2 linked regions of the Pelodiscus sinensis genome follow. The protein of the gene in region 2 purifies or fractionates together with the protein of the main gene of each other region. This does not show direct contact. Links are inferred from orthologs where the notes say so. Each region holds a gene or a part of one and is shown on either strand. Other genes may lie near its edges. The genes, in order: WDR76 and CAMK2D.

What was found.
Region 1: the proteins of CAMK2D (region 2) and WDR76 purify together in Homo sapiens (affinity purification with mass spectrometry; 3 studies listed by BioGRID and IntAct, counting the BioPlex papers as one, with this or other methods). This does not show direct contact. The link is inferred for Pelodiscus sinensis from reciprocal best matches to the Homo sapiens genes CAMK2D and WDR76.

What each region holds. Positions count from the first base shown.
Region 1 is NC_134724.1:293,954-306,602, forward strand, and holds the start of WDR76 (WD repeat-containing protein 76), read left to right. Parts: upstream 1-6,663; 5' UTR 6,664-6,772; coding exon 6,773-6,820; intron 6,821-7,446; coding exon 7,447-7,860; intron 7,861-10,191; coding exon 10,192-10,284; intron 10,285-12,221; coding exon 12,222-12,277; intron 12,278-12,649. UniProt on the Homo sapiens protein: Specifically binds 5-hydroxymethylcytosine (5hmC), suggesting that it acts as a specific reader of 5hmC.
Region 2 is NC_134715.1:32,401,932-32,413,872, forward strand, and holds the start of CAMK2D (calcium/calmodulin-dependent protein kinase type II subunit delta), read right to left. Parts: upstream 6,344-11,941; 5' UTR 5,101-6,343; coding exon 5,033-5,100; intron 3,720-5,032; coding exon 3,625-3,719; intron 1-3,624. UniProt on the Homo sapiens protein: Calcium/calmodulin-dependent protein kinase involved in the regulation of Ca(2+) homeostatis and excitation-contraction coupling (ECC) in heart by targeting ion channels, transporters and accessory proteins involved in Ca(2+) influx into the myocyte, Ca(2+) release from the sarcoplasmic reticulum (SR), SR Ca(2+) uptake and Na(+) and K(+) channel transport.

The sequences.
Region 1 (12,649 bases), on a different chromosome or scaffold from region 2:
GGCATCCTGGTCATGACTCCTGTAACCACATCACGTCTGTGCTGTGCTGTACCCTGGAGAAGCAATAAACCCTCTCTATTCTACTGGCTGGCGGAGTCTGTTCTTGCTGCTGCAAGATCAGGGGGAACCCCAACTTGCCGTCATATCCACCACCTCCCTAGGCAATTTATTCCAGTGTTACATCATCCTGACAGGAAACTTTTTATAATGTCCATCCTAAACCTCCCTTGCTGCAGTTTAAGTCCATTGCTGCTTGTCCTATCCTCAGAGGCCCAGGAGAACAATTTTTCTCCCTCCTTTTTGTAACTCCCTTTTAAATACAATAAAACTTTTGTTATCTGGTACTCTGTTAACCAGAAAACTTTAACTGGCATTGCCCCCAGCCACAATACTGTCACATTTTCAGGCCTGGCTTGGTTTACCATGATTGGCTTAATTTTTTATTTAAGAAGTACTAATCATCTTTAACTCAAAATAGAAATGAGAGACCAACTGCCTCACACTATAAAACTACCAATACAGTAATTACTCATTTAACATGTGCCTGCTTAACACTTTTTCGCAGTAGCACAATTTTTTTAGGGAACATTTTTCGAATAACACGACCTTTCCCGAAATAACACGAAAATAATCAAGTGGCGGACTGCTTTGCTCGGTGGTATAAGTTGGTGAAAACAGTGGTAAGACGCATGAGTGGATGAATTCACGTGGTCACAGTGCTCCTCTCCTCATTCACGTGTTTATCTGTGTGTTTTAACAAACTGCAGCGACTTGTATTGGTAGATATCTAATGTTGACATTGACGACCCAGCACCAAAACAGAATTGACTTCGCTATCACCACCTGAAATGCAACCCCCACCTTTTCCATTATTTTTAATGGGAAAATTGACCCTGCATAGCATGCTTTTGCTTAGCACAAACATTTTCAGAAATGCATCTATTGTGTTAAATGAGGAATTACTGTATTAAAAACTTGAGTTTTACTATTATTGTCCATTGGTTTTTCCTAGGTTGACGGGACCCTCAGATAACTGGAACTTTTAGATAACCGGAACGCCCTAATCCCTGAGTGACGGATAACACAGAATTTACTGTACTAGAAAACTGCTATCAAGTCCCCTTTCAGTCTTCTCTTTTCCAATCTAAACAAGCCCAATTCTTTCAGTCTTCCCTTATAGTTCATGTTTTCTAGACCTTTAATCATTTTTGTTGCTCTTCATTGCACCTTCTCCAATTTCTCCACATCTTTCTTGAAACGTGTTGCCCAGAACTGAACACAGTACTCAATTGAGGCCTAATCAGCGCAGAGTAGAGCAGAAGAATGACTTCTTGTGTCTTGCTCACAACACTCCTGTTAATGCAGCCCAGAATCATGTTTGCTTTTTTTGCAACTGTCATACTGTTGACTCCTATTTAGCTTGTGGTCCATGGTGACTCTCTAGATCTTTCTGCAGTACTCCTTTCTGGACAGTCACTTCTCATTCTGTATGTGTGAAACAGATTGTTCCTTCCTAAGTGGATTTGTCCTTATTCAACTTCATCCTATTTACCTTGGACCATTTCTCCAGTTTGTCCAGATCTTTTTGAATTTTGACCCAATCCTCTAAAGCACTTGCAACTCCTCCCAACTTGGTATCATCTGCAAACTTAATAAGCACACTCGCTATGCCAATATCTAAATCGTTGATGAAGATATTGAACATAACAGGTTCCAAAACAGTCCCGAGGAACCCCACTTGTTCTGCCCTTCCAGCATGATTGTGAACTGTTAATAACTACTCTCTAAGTCAGGGGTGTCCAAACTTTTTTCAAAGCGGGCCAGATTTGAAGAAGTGAACATGCGTCAGGGCCGTCCCCGCACTCTCAGCCCCAAGGCGGAGGGCCCGCAGGGTCGGAGGCGGGCGGAGAGCGCAGGGCACGCTGGCCTCATGGCGGCCAGGGGGCAGGGCGAACCTGCAGCCGAGCGGGGGAGCGGGGCTGCGGACGTGCCCTACAGGGCAGGCTCTAGGACCGCGGAGGCCATGGGCGGCGGCGTGGCCGGAAGCGGCGCGCTGGGCTCGCCAGTTCAAAAGAGCGCCGGGGAGCCAGGAGAGGGGGAGGAAGCGGGGGCTGTATTAAATCGGAACACGGGCCGCAATTGGCCCGCAGGCCGGACTTCGGACATGCCTGCTCTAAGTGGTTATCTAGCCAATTACACACCCACCTTATAGTAGCCCCATCAAGGTTGCATTTCTCTAGCTTATTGATAAAAATGTCATGCGAGACTGTATCAAAAGCTCTACTAAAGTCTAGGTATACCACATCCACTGCTTCTCCTGTGTCCACAAGACTTGATATCCTATGAGATTGCTTTGACATGATTTATTCTTTAAAAATCCATGCTGGCTGTTACTGGTCACCTTATTTTCTTCCAGATGTTTGCAGATGATTTCCTTAATTACCTGCTCCATTATCTTCCGAGGCACAGAAGTTAAACTAACTGGTCTGTAGTTTCCTGGGTTGTTGTTTCCCTTTTTATAGATGGGCACTAGATTTGCCCTTTTCCAGTCTTCTGGAATCTCTCCTGACTTCCATGAATTTTCAAAGATGATAGCTAAAGGCTCAGACACCTCCTCTATCAGCTCCTTGAGTATTCTAGGCCCTGGTGACTTGAAGACATCTAACTTTTCTAAGTAATTTTTAACTTTAACTTCTAAACCTACCCCATTTCCACTAGCATTTTCCATGTTAGGCATCCCTTCATCATCAAACTTCTTGGTGAAAAGTTTCCTCTTGTTGTTTCTCCTTCCTCACTGAGCAATGGGCTTATACTGTCCTTGGTCTTCCTTTTGCTCCTAATACATTTATAGAATATCTTCTTGTTTCCCTTTATGCCCCTAGCTAGTTTTAGCTCATTTTGTGCCTTTGCCTTTCTAATCTTGCCCCTGCATACGTGTGTTGTTGCTTATATTCATCCTTTGTCATTTGATCTAGTTTGCACTTTTTATGACTCCTTTTTGATTTTGCAAGATTGCTGTAACCAAAATGGTATTCCATGGTGGGGCAGTTTTGTTAACTGAGCTTGCGTACCTAGAATTTGTGGGGTGTGCCAACTGAACCATAGCAGTGCTTTGACTAGGTGCAAAGGGAGTACATTGCTCTGACAATCTACATTGTGTGCAAAAGCTTCAGAGGGGTAGCTGAGTTAGTCTATAGCTGGAAAAACTTAAACAACAAAGAGTCTAGCAGCACCTTAGAGAATAACAGAACATGTAGATGGTACCATGAGCTTTCGTGGGCACAGCCCACTTCTCTCCTCTTGCCCCGCACCAGATGGCTTGTAAAGTGATCACATACCACGTCTTATGGCACCTCAGAGACACAGTAAAAGCTTCAGGGGGAAGTCAGTTAGTCTGTGAGAGGAAAAACCCACTTCTTGCGCCTTAGCTTTTTCCCTCCAAGTATTACTACAGTGATAGGCATGTAAAGCGATGTGGACAAAAGCCAGCGAAATCTGGCAACCCTGCACATGGGCTATAGCAAACTATGTTTCACAGGCCACAGGTTACCCACCACTTTTACAGAAGTTTAGTGATTAATCATTGTAAGAGTGCTTTCTGTGAGCACTGCCTCTCTGATCTCACACACACAACTATGTGATGTTGCTCAAAACCATTTACCAGCTGTGATGGCTGGAGCCATAAACCTCATTGACCATACTTACAAAGGACGATATCCTTCATTAACTCTAGGTCAGCTAGATGGTCTTGAATTGTTTTCTACACAAAATCTAGGTCTCAGTACGAGTATTAGTTTTAGGTGTTAGATTTAGCTGTCTTCTGTTTGATTGTATTGGATATTTCCCCATGTCTGCTGGGTTTAGCAGCCCCTTGGGTTATCTGAAGGCCTTGTCTAGAATGTGTGTGAAACTTTGTGGTCTGCTCATACAGCGCCTATGTGTATGACAAAGGGCATTCTTTGGATCTTGGATTGTGCTGTCCTTTCCTGCAGAGGTTCAGAAAACCCTCTGTCCTCTTGAGAGCTGAACAGTCTCCATGTAGTGCAATTTATCAAGTGTGGAGGTATTGCCTTTCACCCCTATGCAGTTATTTAAATGCTTCAGAGATTTTTAAGATCAGAAAGGACTATTCAGACTCTCCTGCTCTTATTTCTAGTTTAAATTTGTCTAACTTAATTCCTTGCTTTGTTTTCTAGCTTTAAAAACATTTGGTAAATTCTGCTCTCTGAGTAGATGCTTGTAGACCACAATCAAGTCACCACTTAATCTTCTCTGTTGATAAACTAAATAGATCTTTCTTTAGTTTCATTAAAGCAGGTTTTTCATACTGCTAATCAAAGCTGTTTTCTGAACTCCCTCCAGTTTGTCAGCATAGGCTTCTTCCCATACATTGGCTTCACTTCCACCCTACCTAGGTTATTACATGGACTTCTCCACCTCTCCTAGGCAATGGAAAAACACAGAAATTCCCATATTTAAGATTCTCAATGAGATGACCAACATATGTGGTACTATAGATATACTTCCTGTGTTCCCACTGGTCATACATGCACATTAAACAAGCAAAAAAAACCAACCCCCACTTCAGTTGTACAGAACACCAGGCATTTCCTTGGCAAGGACCCATTCATTACCTTCTCGAAGATTTCCAAAGAGGAAGGGAAGAGTCTACTTAAAGGGTCCCTTGCCCACTTGTGAGTTTCCGAACTCAAATCAAAATGATGTGGATTCATGTTTCCAAAATCTGATAAATCTAAGAGACAACTGTGACGTAGTGGGGGTACCTGGCTGGTTTCTATGCTGCTGGCTCTGGGGTAACCCCCACTGGCTGCTGTGGGTACCACGACCCAGCAAAACAGGATGAGTCACTATGCAAACCAGTATGGCCAGACACCCCCCATGGAGAGGAACAGAGGAAGGTGGAATGCTGCCCTGGCTGGGGGGCAGGGCTGGAAGAGGGTTAGTTAGTTGCTGGCTGGGAGCATGGAGGAGACAGCCTAGGGAAAGGGGCTGGAATTTAGGGGCCCAGTCTCCCCCATCTCAAGGGGGCCTGAGGCAGCCTAGCCCAGCTCTGTGACCAGATTACATCTGTGCTGTGCTGTAACCTGGAGAGGCAATAAACTTCCTCTATTCCACCGGCTGGTGGAGTCTGTTTGTGCCATTTCGGGGTGCAGGAGACAGGGGACCCCCAACGTGCCGTCACAACTACTTACTGTCCTTCATTGCCAGAAGTTCTCATTCATATTTCCCTGGAGTTAATATTTAAGACTCTCAATGAGATGACGACAAACATCCTATTTTCCATCCTCATCTGGCAACACTGTTTAACCCGCTGAGGATAGTAAAGTCCCTCACCTGATCTCTACTCAACTCCTACATTTTCCAGTGCAGTACTGAGGCAGGTTTTGAATGAGCCAGGCAATGTGCTTTTTACCCATATGGTGCCATGCTATTCTAGTCTGATTGGCCATTACCACTGATTACATTTCATCCCATTATTTTTACCTATTACTCCTCCCTCATTAAATGCTTACTTTCTAATCCATCTCAATCACCACAGGATTATGTGCTTGCAGAAGCATGTTACTCCAGCTTGATTTTATTGAGTGTATGCTAAGACATTCCTGGGCCTCTGGCTAGAATTGCCAACTTGCTACTGACACACAAATGAACACACTTGCCTCCTGTTGTGTGCGTGCTCCATCCTGCCCTCATTTTCACCAGGCTGGCTCAGAGGGTTGGGGTGTAGGAGGGGGTGAGACCTCTGGCAAAGGGTATGGGGTGGGGCCAGAAAAGAGGTGTTCCAGGTGTGGGTAATATCCTGAGGCAGGGAATTAGGATGGGGACTGTAAGGGCTCTGGCTCGGGGCACATGGGGATGAGAGGTTTGGGGCTGCAGGAAGGGGCTCCCAGCTGGGGGATGGGACTGAGGGTTCAGGGTGGGGGCTCTGAGGGTTAGGCAGGGGGTAGGGATGCCAGTGAGACGGGGATCGGAGTTGGGTGGGGCTCCTGGCTCAGGCAGGGGGTTTGGGTGGGGCGAGGTGTCTGGGGCTCCCAGCAGAGAGGTGGGGCGAGGGAATCGGAGTTGGGAGGGGCTCAGTGCTGAGGCAGGGGGTTGGGGTGAGGGCTTCTAGGCTGAGGCAGGGGGTTCGGATGTGTGTGTGGTCCTGGGCTGATGCAGGGGGTTGGGGTGGGGGGGTTGGGATACGGGGGGGGGGGCAGAGGGGGTGTTGAGATTAGGGGTTGCCAGGTGTCCGGTATTGACCCGGACAGGCCGGTATTTTTGCCTCCTGTCTGGTAAAAAAAAATTCCGAAAATACCCAACACCTAAAATGTCCGGTGTTTTCTGATCCTCTCCCCTGCCAGGAAGCGAAACTACCAAACACCTGGCAACCCTACAACACTCAGCCCCGCCCCTGCCGCCCCCCAAAGGCTTGTCTTAAAGGGGCCATGCTGCTTTATTTTTAATTTATTTTTTTGCTTAATAATTCTCGGGGGGGGGGGGCTTTTTTTTTTGCTCAACTTTGGCCTCCCCCTTTTTTTTCCTCAACAGACTCCCCTCCTGTGCGCTGCAGTATGACCGGTTAACCCGGCTGGGAGCGCCCCGGACCCGCCCAGGCTCGAGCGAGCAGCCCTCGGGCCACGTGCGGCCCCGCTGCTGGGGGCGGGGCGGGGCATCCGAGCGGCCCCGCCCCCTGAGGGGAGCGGCCCCGCCCCCTTGCCTCAGCGGGAAGCGAGGCCCCGCCCCGCCGCTCTCCCGCGCTGCCGAGGCGATGCCGCGCGCCGGGGCTGAGGAGCCGTTGGCCCGGCAGCGGGAGCAGGTGGGTGCCCGGGCCGGCCGCGCGGGGGGGCGGGGAGGGGATTCTGGGCCCCGTCCCCGGACCCCGTCGGGCCAAGTCCCCCCCTTGTCCGGGCTCCTGCTGAGGGGGGGGGGCAGAGCCCGCCGGGCGCGGGCCGGATGCGGGCTCGCGAGCGCGGCGCCGGGCGGTGGGGGGGCCGCGCGCGCGCCAGGTGTGAGGGCCCCGCCCCGGGGGCAAGGAGCGCGCGCCGCGTCTGGCGTCCCCAGCAGCCGCGCTCCTGGTCCCGGCGCCGCGCGGGCTCTGCCCCCTGCCGGGCTGCCTACGCGTCTCCCCTGCAGAGCAGCTGGCGCCCCGCATGCTCCTTGGGTTTAAAGAGCGGTCCCCGACACGGCGCCACCGGGGCCAGCCCGAGCCATTCGTGTGTCCCCGGGAGCCCCCCCCAGGTGCCCGGAAACCCCAAAGGTTGTGAGCCCTGGTTCAAAGCTACAGACTAACAGTCACCCCACTTCTAGAAACCTGCCCTGGGCGCTGCTGTTAAAATGTTCCCGGGGCTAGTTATGTGCAGTCAGCTGATTGGAGACCAGTTACAGGAGCGGCCTTCTAGCAGAGTGTTCCTTTGTATTTTTTTTTCCACTTCATTTGTGTAGGAGCGTACACCGAAAGAAAACCCCAGCATGAGCTATGTATCAGACAAAGCTGAAAAAAGAGCAGTTTTTGGAAAACAAGTGAAAGTTCTTCTCACCCCCTTATTCACGGAAGGAGAGAAATGCAACAAACGTCTGCCCCAGAAACGCTTACTGGAAAAGTTTTCTAGTAATGAGGGCTCGTCAGAAAGAGAACCAAAAGTCAAAAAATCCTGTGATGATCTCACAAGTCTGCAAATAAGAGATGAATCCTACAAGGCTTCTTCCAGTCCACAAGAAGTAATCCCCGATACGTCTTCACTTCCTAATCAGAGTAGCATGGTGTCATCCACAAACACCTCAGTTATGGTTGATCGTGATTCAGAAACCAATGGGGACACAGACCATGAAGGAAGCAATTTGGATACCTCTTATCTGGTAAGAAGTCAAACACTGACTATTTTAGTGACTATGTACTTTTTCACACCTGCCAAGGGAGATGAGAAGCAAAAGGGGCAACTTCCCTGGTGCCTGGCAAATCAAAAAGGCTTGGGGTAGGCATGGCATGCTGGGAGAGACACTGAGGCTGTCTGAGGGAAGCTAGTCCCAGCCCTGCCTCTTCTGCCTGAGGCTCCACCCATTCCAGGGGTGTAGAGGGGACCAGAGAGTCTTTTGGCCCCACTGTCCTCTTAACTTTTTCAATATATTCTTAGCCTAGCCCTCCATTTATCCTATTTGGCATTTTTCACATTTTGAAATTTTCACATTTTGAAACTTCAAGAATTGATGACCTTATCTATAAGGAACTGTTTGCTCCCTAGAAAACATCAGAGAATAAAATTCTGCTGTTTTTAAGGAAATGCAGTGATTTACTTCATTTTTTTAAGATAGAAAAATAAGATCATGTTTTTTCATAGTTATTCAAGACGAATTATTCATTTTTACATTGCCCTCTGGATTAGATTTTTGGCTTACCAATATATATAGTTTTGTTTTTATTGGTTGTAGGTAAATATTACTGTTTACTTAGCATAATTAATGTTAAAATACTTGGTAACATATGAGAAGAATGGGCCTGAAGTTCCCCACCCCTGATTTAAAGAGTCTAGTAAAGACTTGCAAAATTAAACGCTGAAGTCAATCACGTCAACCACTGTACTCCTTACTTGAGGAGTAAGGGAAGTTAAGGGGAGTGTTTCTCCTGTTGACCTCCCTCTGTGTGGTGCCAGGAAATCGATGCAATTTATATAGCTGGAGTTCCATATTTTGCATCGATTTTTCTCCTCAAGAGTAGTCCTACCCTTAGATTGCAAGCTCTTTCCAGCTAATTCTGCCTTTTGTTCTGTAGTTGTAGAGGGCTGAGCACAATGGGTTCCTAGTCCATGACGAGGGCTCCTAAGTGCATTGGAAATCCAAATAATGGTTTTCAGAATGTACCATGTTTCCCTTATTTTGTAAGGTGACAAGAAATAGCACACAGCTTATTCCATTTACAGCCAGTATTTGGCTTATGAGTATATCTGAATAATTCCACTCTTATGAAAAAGTTAGTTACCTTTAGTTCTGAAAAGGAGTCAATTAATTTTTCTCTTCACAATAGTGAAGACAGCTATTATAAGACAGTCTAACACTGGTATTTTTGTACACTCTTCAGTGTATATAATTGCCTCGTGTTGTATGTTTTCGTTTCTTGTTTATCAGTGTAATATTAATTTGATTATTGAATAATTTTAACATCCATAAAGAACTTTGATACAATCTTTAAAACTCCCTAAGTGTGTGTCTGAGCTGTATGTATAAAACACTCCTATTCTGATACAAAATCATCTTGGCTTCTGTTGCTACATGAAATTAATAAAGGTTTTCTGAAGTTAGTGTACTGACTAGCTCCCTCACATTTTTCTTTAGCTCTTCAAAGTTCAGCAGGTGTGCTTTTAAGAAATGTAATTCCTTAAATATCAGTCTTTGGGGCTAGTGTTGTTTTATTCTTTCCTGTGACTGTATATCTTTATGGGGGGCAGAGAGAATGCTTCTGCAGTACAGTAAAATGAGGACTCTACAGCTTCTTTTTGTATTAAGGGCAAAATGCAAATTGCTAGTGACTGACCACGCTAATTGAACTCTGTTAAAGTACTACGGGTTGGACCTCCTTGGTCCAGCACCTTTGGGACCTGACCTATTCTGAATGAGGGAATTTGCTGGATCAGGGGAGCTCCCCTGCCACCGGCCTCACAGGACACTGCCCCTTCCTCTGGTTGGCTCTGCTCCAGCCCTGCTGGGACAGGGGTTGGGCTCGGCTCTGGCCCTGTTTGGGGCTTTCCGGTGATGGAGCTCCCCAGCTGCCATGGCCCTATTTGTCCTGCCTGGCTGGGGCTTCCCGGGGATAGGGCTCTGTGGCTGCCCCCACCGGGGTCTGGGTACTAGAGTTGTCTGATCCAGCAACATCTGTGATCCTGCTGGACCAGGGAGCCCCAGATTTAGGAGATTCAACCTGTACTGTCTAGTGAGTGTGATGTTTTGTTCTTATTCCTCCCAATTCATATTTTTACACTTGTTTGGAAATGGAGAAATATCAAGTACTCCTTAAAGTAAAATTTATTATAAGAGATGCTTGGAACCTAAAATCTTGTCTCTTTATTTAAAGAAAAAGAGGCCATGTAACTTTATACAGAGAAGTATTGTCTCAACACTTCAGGCCTCTTAATGCACTCTGTGTACTGTCTTAAATGTTTGTGTACTGTCTTTATTACTGTTGTTTGTTTGGTGCAGGATGGATCTTCACAGCTGTCAGCCTATGAAAGAAAAAGACTGAAGAACATTATGGAAAATGCTAATTTCTTTGCTTCTCTAAAGCTGCTTGAGGTTTGTATTATGTCTGCCTAGAATAAGACCAAAATAATCATTCTAAATGTAATAGAAATTACCATACCAAAACTCACCCATAGTTCATTTAGTTATTAAATATGTCTCTAACAGTGTCCTACACCAGACACTTAAAAAAAACGCATAAAAATTTCATAACACAGCTGACTTGCAATGATATATCAGTGATCAGATTATGCTTTACACAGACTCTTTGATAGGACTTTAATTTGAATGGGATTTCATTCATTAATATTTATAAAGTACTCAAGTGCAGTCTATGCATTGGAAGAAGTAATCCAAACAAGTTAAGATTGTGACATTTTTAATGTTATCGACAGACACAGATACTCTTTTTCTCCTTTCCATATTCCTTTTCCTGTGTACTGTTCTGTTATTTCTCATAGGTCCACTCTTTGGCATTAAGAAGTAACTTTCTTCCTTGGAAGTCCACTCTTTTGCTCACTCAGAGCTGGCTCTGAGTCCCAGGTGCAGAAGCACAGAGTGATTAGAGAAAATCCCTCTAGTTGTTTCTGAGGAGCTAGCATGAGACGTGTTTAACCTCCCCAATTTCATCTGGCACATTGGACACCTACCTGTGCACACAAACTGCTCTAGAGTTCTGTATGTCTAAGGAAACGAAACAGTGAACAAGCATTCAGCTCTCTTCCAAATTGTTCTTTATCTTTGCATTTGTATGTTAATTCAAGTCCTCTACTGATGATAATTTTTGTGAGTAAAACTGCTGATAGTATAGCGCTTATATCTACCAATCTTCTTTTGAGTCTTACACTAGATGTGCAACTGATGAGTATATTTTATAAACAGTTGGCTAGATCTCTTCTAGTCCTATGGATTCTGTGAAGAGACAGACACATCTCATGTTATCGAGACTATTTCTGAAAGGCGTTTCTCTAACCTGCTCTTAAAAATCTCCAGCGATGGAGATTCTGTAGTGTCCCTAGGCAGCTTACTCCATTGTTTAACCATCCTGACAGGAGGTTTTTCCTAATGTCTAATCTAAACCTCCCTTGCTGCAATTTAAGCCCATTGCTTCCATCCTATCCTTAGAGGTCAAGAAAAACAATTCTCTCCCCTCGTCCCCTGCTTGTAACAACCTTTTAGGTACTTGAAAATGGTTATCATGTTCCCTCTGTCTTTTCTAGACTAAACAAACCCAGTTCTTTCAGTCTTCCTTCATAGGTCATGTTTATAGACCTTTAATCACTTTTATTGCTCTTCTCTGGACTTTTTGCCAATTTGTCCACATCTTTCCTGAAATGTGGCCCTCAGAACGGGACACAATAGTTCAGTTGCGTCCTAATCAGCACAAAGTAGAGAGGAAGAAGTAGTTCTTGTGTGTTACAGCACTCTTGCTAATGCATCCTAGAATGATGTTTGCTTTTTTTGCAACTGTGTCACACTGTTGACTCATATTTAGCTTGTGGTCCACTATGAGCCCAAATCCCTTTCTGCAGTACTCACTTTTGGATAATCATTTCTCATTTTGTGTGTATGAACAGAAATCAGTTGCCAAATCATTTTCTCTGGTGTTTCTTGTTTAGGATTTTGTTTTCCTTAGCACTGCAAGATGAATACAGCCATAGAATACCAAGATAGATAGTATTCTGTTCTTGTGTGTCACAAGATGCCCCAGAATTCAGTTAATTTGTTTTTATTTTATTTTTTTTGCTAGGGAGTAACAACTTGCAAATACAAAGACAGAAACAACACAGTTCAAGTTGCAGGTTTACTCTTTAGTTTGTAGAATTGGAAGTTAGGCAGATATGACTGGTAAACTGAATAAGTCAGATAATTGAGAGAGAATGAACACAGAAAACCTCATAATCATTAGTTTTCATAACTGTATTTCACAAAACCATTAAACACTTGTTCATCTGATTATTTTTCTTATATTTCTACATTTTTCTTTCAAGTCAGCTTCAAGACTTCGTGAAATAGCAACCAAAAGACAATCTCATGGAATCAAAAGGTAAAATAACCATATCTGAGAAACACACCAACATTTTTGCTACTTTTACTTTAGTATATGTACATGCAGCACATTTAAATTCAGATCTAGACCACCAATTACCTTAAACTATCCATGTAACTTCTCCATTGGTAAATTTTCACTTAGTGTATTTCTGTACTTCATCTTTTAAAAAAAATAGTAGTATGACTGTCTTTCTGGTGAAAATAGCATGAAAGTAATAATTATTTTTTCAGTGAGATTTCAAGAGCATCTTGTCCTTGTCGAGTCATAGAAATGTAAGGCTGGAAGGGATCTTGAAGTCATTTAGTGTGATATCCAACCTGATGGCTAAGAAGGAAAAAATCAGCCTGATAATGGAAAGAAGGGAAA
Region 2 (11,941 bases):
CAGGGGGGTGAGGGGCGATGCTGCGGGACCAACCCGGGAGCACCCGAGCTGCTCTGCTCCACACTGCTTCCCCAAGTCAGTGTCAGCAGCAGCAGCAGCAGATGACTTGGGGAAGCGGCACGGAGCAGCTCCAATTGTCCAGCTGGCCAGAGCACTTCCAGATTCCAGTTGGTGCTGGACTATCGGGAGTGCTGGACCACTGGATGACGGACAATTGGAGTTTTACTGTACATTCTAATTGGAGATTAAGACCTTGATCCTGCAATGGGATCTGCCTAGGCTGAGATGTCATCTACACATGGTAGGGTTAAAGCCACAAATGAAAAAACAAAGACTCAAAGACAAAAAATAAATGCTATTAGGTATTAAGTTTGGTCCAAGACTGAATAAAATATTTTACAATAGCAAACTTTATTCATCTTATCAAAGAAGACAGTTTATGCAAAAAACAAACCTAGACTTAATAAAAACCAGTAGACTAAACGAAAACTCTCTTTATAAGATAAAGCCTATACAATGCAGAAGCAGCACAGATACAGTGGTTTTTGCTATTACTTTTCCATACAGATGCCAAATCTTCCAACTTCTTTTAGTGGTCTAATTTCCTGCAGTATATTCATGCTCCTAGTTTATTTAGAACATATTCTTTTGATAGAAAATGAACAGTTGGTCATTTGTAACATTATCAGACTGAATTAACTCTTTATTCTTAAATGTAACAATTTACAAAAACCACAATTTGTACATGAAGCTTTTAACACTGATTTTAAATGAAAACCAGAACTTCTGTATGTTTCTATTGAAATATTAAGTTAGAAGCATTTCTGAATGATTTCTGTCAACAGTGAAAGGTTATACTATTATTGTTCAACAATAAAATAGAGAACCATGGAACTGATTAGATTTCTGTTATATATATTATAGCAAACCATGAATTTAAAATTAACTTCTATTTAAAAAATAATCTAATCTTAAACAATAGTACTTTTTCTGCTGTAATTTGAATTAGTTTGGGATATGGTCACATACCTAATATACATAATTTGTCATCAATGTAAAACAAACTTAGTTTTGAAAGTGAGAGCAATAAAAATGCAGTCTTGTGCAAAAGATCCCAAAAAAATAAAGAACATGCAGCACTTTAAACACAAGAGCATTTTAAAACTCTTTTCAAAAGACTGAATCATGCAGAGAAACTATGAAGCAAGTACAAATCCACAGACAACTTTGTATGACCAGATCAATATTTCATGTTGGGAAGTCTATGAATCGAAGCATTCAAATATATATACTCCAAGAAAATACATGTGGAGAAAAAGCTGTTTGACTGGACAACACTAAATGAAACCATAACTAATAATATTATTACTGTTTTATACAAACTTAATAAAATAGACAATATTTTTCCATATGTTAAAATACCTCTCCTTCAATAATGCAAACAAAAGGCTTATTGAACACTGCCAATTTAGCAAGCTAAACAAAGAGAACCAGTCACCATGTGGGAAATTCACCTCTGCAAAGTGCCTTGTATGTACCCTGTGCATTGGGATGAAGTACATTTTTGACATAGTATATGGACCATAATACTTGCAATAGAATTGGAAGCAAAAACTACTAGCAATTTCAGAAGAGCCCTGAAAAAACTAGCTCTGTGAAAGTTGCCTGACGAATGACAAAACTACTGTATTTGTGCAAATTTGAACAGACAAAGCTGGACAGTTAGTATGGTCTACCCCTATACACTTACATCCACTGAAAATATATCGTGTATACACACAGATATGTAAGGAAAATGACATGACCACAAGTTAGTATCCAGGTTTAAACTTTAAATCCACAAAAGGAAGGGAATTCGGAGTTGAATTCTTTGGTACCGTTAACGCAGAAATCCAATATATGTGCATGATGTTACACTGCATACTACGCTCTCAATTTCCTTGGTAAAATTCCATTTACATTAACAGAATTCACCACACATCAATTTGGTCCTGTATGTGCTCCAAAGTCTAGATAAATCCATGTAAAAGAAGTGAAAATTAGAAGCATTTACTATGTGCTATGCTCCTTTTTAGGCATTTGAGGCAGACTCTTAAAATTTACTTTAATAAAGTGTTCTGTTTCTTCACTGTAATACACCTGAGTTTAAGTTTTTATATATTTAAATCATATACGATACATACAACCATAATTTATTAACAATCCAGTGATGACAGTCTCTTATGACTAGAGGGACTTTGTAAACATTTCTCTGTTTTAATGTCAATATTTTGGTTGTTTTTTATTTTACATATCTAAACAAACTGAAAAAAGTAATTTAAAATCAAAATGTATTTAAATAAAAATAGTTCTGTCAAATAAGCTTTCATTTATTTTCATACACCCCCATTCAAAATAAGCCAAATCCTAAAAAGCAACACTCATTAGAAATATGATTTTATAAATCTAGAAAAGAAAAAAAAATCTCACACTAAGATTCTGAAGACGAAGAGTAAGTGAAAAGTAAACTTTTACACCGTTACGGAGTTGAAAATAAGATTATATCATACAAAAGGTGTTAGAGCAGCATTAAAAGTTATAGCTCTGCTACCATATATTAGCATTCTTTGATTTCATTAACTCATTGCATATGAGTGCTGTTACTATACAACACTCTCCTTGTATAAATCGTAAGCCAAGCCACGCAAGAAGGTTTAGACGCTGACATTGTTTGTTTACTCAATTTACATGCTCATCACAGGGCCAAAAATTCATATGAAAATAAAGATAATGTTATGTTAGCAGAAAATAATCCTTAATCCCTAACATCCTAGTACAAGCAGGTTAGTGTGGATTTGCCAAAGAATAAGTATGAGACCTATTTTCAGCAGTCCTAACACAATACATAGTTTATTTAATGTTGTTTGTTTAATGTTGTGTAAGCACAGCGCCACTGACAGCGTGTATACATGCACACAGCTACACAGTTGTAATATATACCCACATTTACACCACATAAGGAAAATAAAATAAAAGGAGAAAAAAAATGTGTCCATGAGAGAAATAACAGTACAAATGCTTCACTGAAACATCACTACTTGGTACACAAATAGTTACTTCATAAAATGTCTACCCTGTTACACATCATCTTCATTTGAAAAACTGTATGGGCAGCAGATCAGTTTTTTTCCCTAAAGGCGTTCACTGTTAAATATGGCTTGATGAATTATGTTCTTATTTAAATACAATGAAAGAATGAGATTCAATTAAGCTTTGACCTATTTCTTTTAATAAAAGCTACAGGAGTGCGTTCTCAAAAAATACAAGAAAATAACATTCCAAGCTCAAAATCACTCACAAAAAGCTTTTAACAATGCTTTGAAATGTGTATGTCTTTCCTTTTAGCATGGCAGAACAGTAATCTCATATCTAAGCGTTGCCAAACGTTATTCATCAACATGGAATATCTAATCAGTATGTTAGAGAAATGGAAAATATAAGGAGAAAAAATAAAATGTCTCCTGAGTGTGTAAATGCTTAGATATACTACTAAGCCAAAAACAAAAAAAAGGGGGAGGGAGGGGAGACTGGGGATGAAGACAGGGAGACACAGACACAGAAAACATTGGGTTGAAAAATACCCACCTCTAGCAGACAGCTTTTTGGTGTTGATAATTTTGGCAGCATACTCTTGTCCTGCAGGAATTTTCACACATCTTCTTACAACTGAGAATGCCCCCCTGAAAACCAATAACCAGACAAACATCAGCACAGGAGCTATAATATTGATAATGATTCTAATAATGTGAGTGTTTTAACTGATTTGATTGAAATGCATATTGTGGATGTAAGAGACAGGCAAATGAGCACGAAATGGCAATCATTATTCATTTTATAGACTACAACAATTAACTGGATTTAAAATATAAAAGTGACCACAAGTCACGGTAAGCAGTTTTAATATATGTCCAGAAAACTGTAAGTGATGGTATTTACACACCAGAAACTTGCACATTTCACTGTTCCTCGACTCAAAAGCCTCAACTGCTCCCTGACTACATTACAGTAATCAAACCTGTTAAGTGTAAAAAAACAAAACCAAACCTGTGTAAAAATTACACCTCCGGCTTTGTCAATGTGGCTATTATATTTAATTAAATTTAAACAGAGCTCATTCATGTGAGTAAGAAGTGTATCTTAATGAACACAGCGCTACACAGGGACATCCTACTCCTTGCAGAAAAGGAGCATTTGAATTACACTGCTGTTTACAACATTCTCCATGTTTTTGATACCAAATGGTATCCCCACAAGCCTTTTCAAGTCATTTACATAACAAAATGACACACCAATGAATTCTCAATTTAAACAGAAAGCAAAAAAAAAACTGGAGAGTAGAGAATAGTTAATTTCAAGTATGAACAATACACAGCCATCAGCTTGTGTGTGAATAATGTATGAATGTCTGGATATATTTTTGAGTGTCTACATAAACCGGGCAGCTTTTCTGACCATGGGCAGAGCTCTCTCATCTACCTTGGGTTTCTCTTACCCTAGTGAGAATGGTGGCCGTAAATCCTGAAGAGATGATAGATGCAATGTGACATTACCAGCAAGAACAACAATAATTCTTCACAAATAACAAGAGGACGGGAGGGGAGGGTCGCCCTTCCTCCCCATTGGAAGTACTGGATGCAAGAGATACTGTACATCCAGCTGAACTTTCTGCCTCAATAAACGTAGCACCTAATTGTATCAAGTATAAAACAGACAAGCATGCAAAGCAAGCTAGGCAGCTGTGTCTAAAAATTATGCATTTATCCTTTAGATTCGTGCATGGAGCTGAATCCTCCCTCCCCCTAGGACAACTCCAACTGCAGAGCTTAGCAATGCAATGAAGACTCCTTTGCAAAGGATCTGAGGCAGCAGCCACCACCCCCATTCCGAACAAAAGCCACAACTTTGCCCAGCCGCAACCTGTCAAACCACTTCCCTTGCTCCCAACCGAAATCCCCCTCCTCCCCTCGACCCCTTCCCCCACCGCGGCGCTTACTTTCCAAGCTCCTCGAAGAGCTGGTACTCGTCGGTGAACCTGGTGCAGGTAGCGGTTGAAGCCATCATGAGTCCAGGCTGCTCCTGCCGGTGCCTCGGAGGCAGAGAGGGACTGGGAAGAGGGGGGCGGACCGGAGGCGAGACGGGAGAGAAGCCGCGCTTCTTCTCCTCCCGGCGAGTCGGCGTCACCCTTGCTGGCTTCTTTACTTTCTTGTTGGATAGTCGGCTGGGGCTGGGCGGACGGGTGGGGCGCTCCACGCCGCCGGGCGAGCTGTCCTTGCCGCTCGTCCCTCCCCTAGTCCTTCTGCTTCAGTATAAGCCCCTCAAAGGTCGGGCTTGGAGAGGAAACGGCCCGCGAAAGGGAAACCAAAACCAGCCGACAGGCAGCGCGGGAAGGCGAGAGGCAGCCCAGCCAGCAGTGACTAAGAATAAAACAGCTGGGCGGCTGGTGGGAGGAGGAGCGGGGAACTGGAACCCCGCAGCTGCCCCGGTCCACTCCGCCTTTGCTCCGCGCGGGGCTGGGCCCTGACCGCGGCAGCAGCAGCCGCCGGCCTGTGGGGAGCTCTGTGCGGCTCGCCCGGCCGCCGCTACAGCCAGCAGCAGCGCAGCGCTAGGGTGGGGGGAGCAGACCGAGCAGAAGTAGTAGCTGGAGGTAGCGGAGGGGGGGGGGGGGTCTTTCTCCTCCTGCGGCAGCTGCTTCTGCCGTCCTCGTCTCCCTCTCTTTGGGGCACGGCTCCCTCTAGCGGTGCGCAACACGTGGGGGGGCTGCGAGCTCTCGGGGGGCTTTCCCCCGAAGACAGTCTCTGCGGCCACTCCCTCGCCTTCCCAAGGAGCCTGGCCGGTTCTCCCCTAGCAGCGTTCCCAGCGCGGCCGCCGGGCACGAGCAGCGGGAGAGGAGGAGGAGGAGGAGGGTGAATGTCTCACTGAAACACAGCGGCGCTCCGCTCGCCGCGGCGGAGGCTGGGCGTGAGCCTACCCCAGGCAGGAGCGGAGGGGAGAGCTCAGTGGCGGGGCTGCTTTGTGTACCGGGAGCCGGCTGCCAGCTCCCCGCGCGGCGCGGCTCGCTGCAGCAGCTGCACAGCCTCCCCGCTGCCAACGAGGCACGTGGGCTTAGTCCACAGCTGGAGGACGTTCCGCCTGACCTCCGCCCGCGGGCTGCCAGCTGCGCGCGGCCCGCGCAGGACCTCCCCCTAGCCCACCGCACGCGCGCCTGCCTCCGCCCTTCGCCGCGTTCCATTCCGAAGCGTCATAATTGACACGCAGCCCGGGCGCGTTCCAGGCAGCCTCCTCTAGGGCAGCGCGTGTTGCTTCTCGCGAGACTTGGCTCTAGGTTGGGGCGGGGCAGGAGCGAGTGAGCTAGTTAACACCCCCGCCCCCGTCTGGAGACGCTCTCTGCTCTCCAGCGTGCGGTGGGGCGCGGGCTTTAGCGCCGCTGCAAGGGAGGCGGGCTTGGCGTGATGCGTCCGCGTGGGGAGAGGTCTCTGCCTGGGGGCGCCAAGCGTCTTTCCTCCCCCCAAGTCTGCAAAACCGCATGGGCGCTTCTTTGTAGCTTTCCCAGCTTCAGCGACTCACTCCTCACTGGCAATCTGGCTTAGCGCCCGGCGAATTGCAGTAAATCGCTTCTGAATAAATGTGCACAGCATCCTGTTTTCAGCTTCATTTTGCCACCTTGTAATCCGGAGTTGTACATGGTGAAGTGTCTGTACACCTCCGGCTGCAGGCATTTAATGGTGTATTTTATTTCTTCTTGGGGGGGGGGGGGGAATCAGCCAGAACAATTCAACCAATTACTAACCTGGAAGGCTGGGGGAAAAATCCGTTCTTTGCCCATATGGAAACATTCTGCTGACCTTTTCTTCAAACAGCTGTGTGGTTTAAAGTAAAAGGTTCGGAAATGTGGCTAGTCCCAGGAAGGCGCAGAAACAGGCAAACTATTACTAAATATCTTTTAAACTTTTATTAAAGGGCTTTGTATAAAATCATAATTTATCAATTTCTTACATACATAGGCACCAAATAATTATTAGACTGTCCAATAAGCAAAATGCAATACAGAGAAGAAAATTCTTTGAGGTTTCTCTAAATCCCAATAGTTGTTAACAAGGGACTAGGGATTATTAACAGTTACATTTACATCAGTCTTACTTATAAGACTAATCATTTATCTAAAACTTTTAACACTACTACTTAACAATACCTCTAAACAATTTCAGATAACAATACTTACATTTAACAGACACACAAACTACAACAACATATTTGGTATTTGTTATGTTTGGTATACGTTACACTCTACAGGAACTCGTTTGGTTCGGTGAGCGGGAGGTGGCCCTCGGGTGATCAGTCCTCGGACCTGGCTCGTATTCCGCCATCCAATGTTTATTCGGGATTCCTCAATTTGATACAGGAGAGGAAGCTGTTTTATAGAGAAAGCTTTTGTGCGCTTTTTGTGATAGGCTAGCTGTTAAGTGACAGGAGTAAGGGGATGAGATGGTTTCCTGTTTTTCCTTTTCTGCCTTATCGGACATGGCACAACCAGCATGAACTTTACATGAACTTTTTGGGTCTGGTTTTGGTTCCTATTCGTCGCTGATCTTTAAGTTACATAGTGTAAGGGTTTTCATCAAGGGGAAGTTGACCTTTTGCTTGGATGGCAATACGCGCGAGAGGCCTGGCCAGCAAAGAGCCTGCTTTCACAAGCTGGAGTGCCCTGGAGCTTTAGAAAACAGACTTGACATTTGGTGGAAAGATGGCCCTTGTGTCAACGATGTCCTTTTTGCCACCTCATGACATTTAGCCCCAGTTGTAGTTTGTGCATGGTCAGCAGGGACTTAATTTTAGTAGCAAGAAACTCTGAAGAATCTGGCCTCATTCAGCATGCTCTGGCCAAACCCTCCCAGCTGATTGTGCTACTGCTGACTAGACTTAGGAGGGTGTTTAGCTCGCAGAGCCTGAGCATGCTCCATCTGCTCTCAGTTCTGGGTAGCGGGACTGTCCGGCTGCGTCTAGACTGGCATAATTTTGCGGAAATGCTTTTAGCGGAAAAGTTTTTCCGTTAAAAGTATTTCTGCAAAAGAGCATCTAGATTGGCACGGGTGCCTTTGCACAAAAATTGCTTTTGCACAAAAACGTCTGTGGCCAGTATAGACAAGATTTTGCACAAGAAAGCCCCGATTGCCATTTTGCGCATCTGGGCTTTCTTACACAAAAAATTCCTTCCCTGTCTACACTGGCCCTCTTGCGCAAATACATTTGCACAAGATGGCTTTTTCCCGAGCAGGAGCGTCAAAGTATTTGCACAAGAACACTGATAATCTTACATTAGATCATCAGTGCTCTTGCGCAAATTCAAGCAGCCAATGTAGACAGCTGGCAAGTTTTTGCACAAAAGTGGCCACTTTTGCGCAAAATCTTGCCAGTCTAGATGCACCGTCCGTTTATACATTAACACAACATGATTCAGGTTACAAAGTTAGGCACTCAAAGTTAGGAAATGTCACTAAGGTTAGTGTTCTTATTTGGGCACAAAAGAATGGGGTAGAGAGGTCTATGACTAACATGCTTGTCTATTATTAAAGTTCTTAGGCATCACTTAGGTACAAATAATAATACAATAGAGTTCTAGTTAATGATAGATAGTAATAAAGACATGGTTATAAGATAATTAAAGATGAATTTTAATGGCATTAGTTAAACAGGAGGTTAAATGATCTAATGATCCCTTCTGGTCTTAAACCCTCTGAACCTATAAAACCTCCCTGCCCACTCAGGATTATTAAAATACCAGACTATTAACCCCAGCGTCCTGGCCAAATATCAAGTACAACAATGATTTTCTAGATGAATGAGGCTAGGCTGAGCAGAATTAATTTCACCTCTCTTTCTCAGTTCTTTCCCTGTTTGATTAACAGCAATTGCTAATTACCTAATCAATGGAATTAATAATATACACAGACTGTGTCTAGACTGGCAAGTTTTTCCACAAAAGCAGCTGCTTTTGCAGAAAAACTTGCCAGCTGTCTACACTGACCGCTTGAATTTCCACAAGAACACTGACTTCCTAGTGTCTGAAATCAGTGCTTCTTGCGGAAATACTATGCTGCTCCCGTTCGGGCAAAAGTCCTTTTGTGCAAAGCTTTTGCGCAAAAGGGCCAGTGTAGACAGCTCAGATTTGTTTTGCGCAAAAAAGCCCCGATCGCTAAAATGGCGATCGGGGCTTTTTTGCGGAAAAGCGCATCTAGATTGGCACGGACACTTTTCCGCAAAAAGTGCTTTTCCGTTAAAAGCATTTGCGGAAAATCATGCCAGTCTAGACGTAGCCACAGTGTTTAAAACAGCACTATTTAAATTCTGATAAATCCACATTACATGTTGACTGTAAAATTCAATTTGCGCCTTGAGGTTAAAATATTTAATGTAGGGTGTCTAAAAGTTAGCCAAAATTTACATTTTGGCTTACATGTGTAATAAGAACCTAAATCTCCCACTAACACTAAGCAACCAAGTTACAAAATCAGGGCCTACAACCCCTATCTTGTCTATTCACTACAAGAGAGAGTTAATGTAGTTTTTGTCTGCAGTGATGCAAAGAGCACAGAATCCACTTTGGAGTTATGTTTCCACTGGATGAAATGTTCGTCAGGCAAAGATGCCGACCCCAAGGTTCATTTTGTTCTCAGCACAAAGGAAGAAGGTGTGGCCTTTGTAAACATAAATATGACCAGGTACAAAACATTTGCACCATGTTCCTTCACCCCAACATTGCCTGTTCAGCAGAGAGTGTAAACAACTGGGCTGCGTCTAGACTGACAAGTTTTCACTTTTGCGCAAAAACTTGCCAGCTGTCCACAGTGGCCGCTTGATTTTGCGCAAAAGCACTGACGTTCTGCTGTCCAAAATCAGTGCTTCTTGCACAAATGCTTTGACATTCCCATTTGGGCAAAAGCCCTTTTCCGGAAATGTTTTTGCACAAAAGGGCCAGTGTCGACAGGCAGCTAAGACGTTTTGCGCAAAAGCAGGTTAAACGGAAAAAAGCCCTATGGATGCTCAGAGGCTCCGTAGCCACAATCAGCTCTCGGACTTCCTGGTAATCTGATCCCTCTTAAAGCAGATGCAGGCTGCTGAGGTCACCAGGCAGGAGCCCTCTGGCCACAGCTCTGCCACGTGGCCTCTGCTGTCGAGCAGACACCCCTCCAAGCATGATGGCAGATCCACGTGGGGATCAGCCACCCGCCCCCCCAGCACAGGAGGCCCCCAGGGCCAGAAAGAGATGGGCCCCATCCTGGTCCCCGGGGTAGCTGGAAGCCCTCCTGAACCTGTGGCCCTCCACGAGACCCGCTCCTGGCGCCGCAATGCCAAGATCTTTTCTCGCATGGCCCAGGTGCTCACCCAGCAGGGCCATCCAGCCCGGACCCTCGAGCAAGTCCGGGCTAAAGAACTGCGCCTGGGCTACGTCCAGGCCAGCGAGGGCCAGGGGGCAGGAGCCGACACCTGCCCCCATTACGAACAGCTCCACACCATCCTGGGCGAGCCAGCCCCACAAGCCCTGGAGGTCCCCGTTGACAGCAGCATGTGCCCCCCCGTCACCAGGACCACCGAGACTGGGGAAGGAGACAGCAGCAGTGCATCAGAGGATGAGGCCGGCACTGCCACCCAGCAGGCTCCCTCCGGCAGCTCTGACGTCTCCCGCGCATCCTCGGAGGCGGGGAAGGATCCACTGGTGCGTGTTGCACTTTGCACTCACAAGGACGGGGGGGGGGGCGGGTGAGAAGCCAGGCGCCCGGAGGGAGGAGGGAGAGAGCATGTCATCAGGCCACGTGACCTGCATGCTGTGTAGCATTAGGCAGTAAGCAGCACGTGTAACCACGTGCAGCCTGGTGACCGAGTGGCATGTGGCCGCGGCAGGCAGCTCCAGGGCACGCCTGGGACCGTGCTGCTCACACGCATCCAGCGGGACCAGGGGAAAGGGTAGGTGCCGGCTGGAACCAGCCAGGGCCCCAGGGACTCAGGCCAGAGCTCGCACCTCCGCAAGGGTGCAGCACGCAGAACAGCAACACTGTCCCAGGCCTGGCTGTCAGGCACAGCCAGCTGCTCCTGGGAAAACCGCAGTGTCACAGCCCTGTGAACGTGGCCCCCACTGAGCTTCTCGCCTGCTCCTGGTGCCTTGGCTGGCTCCCCAAGGGAAGGCCCCACTGCGGCCACACATGTCCCTGGGCTACATGTGTGAGGGATAGTGTGAGGGAGAAGGGGGGGAAGTGCTCGGGCCACCCCTAGGGCCGCCTGAGTTCTGCTGCAAAGATGGGACACCCCTCCCCCCCCAGTCACTCTCCTGGTTCCGTCCAGGGGATATCCCACGCGATGGGGATCTGAGAGCCCAGATCACGTCTGCCAGATGTGCTCCCAAGCACTGTGTGGGGATTCATCTCGCTCCCTGTCAAACACCATTGATTGGCCCAAAGCCTCACAGCCTCCACCAGCAGGGAGTTCCACAGGTGAACACAACACAAGCGCCCTCCCACCCCCCAAGGAGCCAGGACACAGACCGGTGGTTACAATACATGGAGGAGGACCCTACTCCAGGGGCAGTCCTCTATGCAAACATACAACACGGGGGGGCAGAGGGGTAACCGAGTGGGCCCAAGCCACACTACTGTGGTGTCACCTGGGATCAGGGGTGGAGGGCGTGAGGTGTGGGGACAGTGGCTGGGCTGCCTGACTGACCCATCCTTTCTTTTCTTCCCTGCAGCGGGACCAAGCACAAGCCAGGGACCCTCCAGTCTGGCAACAGCAGCACCCCCGGCCGCCCACCACCAAGGCAGAGGCTCTGCCACCAGGACCAGCTCCTTTGGTGCCACCTGCAGGCTGGCAAGCGCGTCGAGGCTGCCATCACTCGGCGCATGGAGGGGGACTT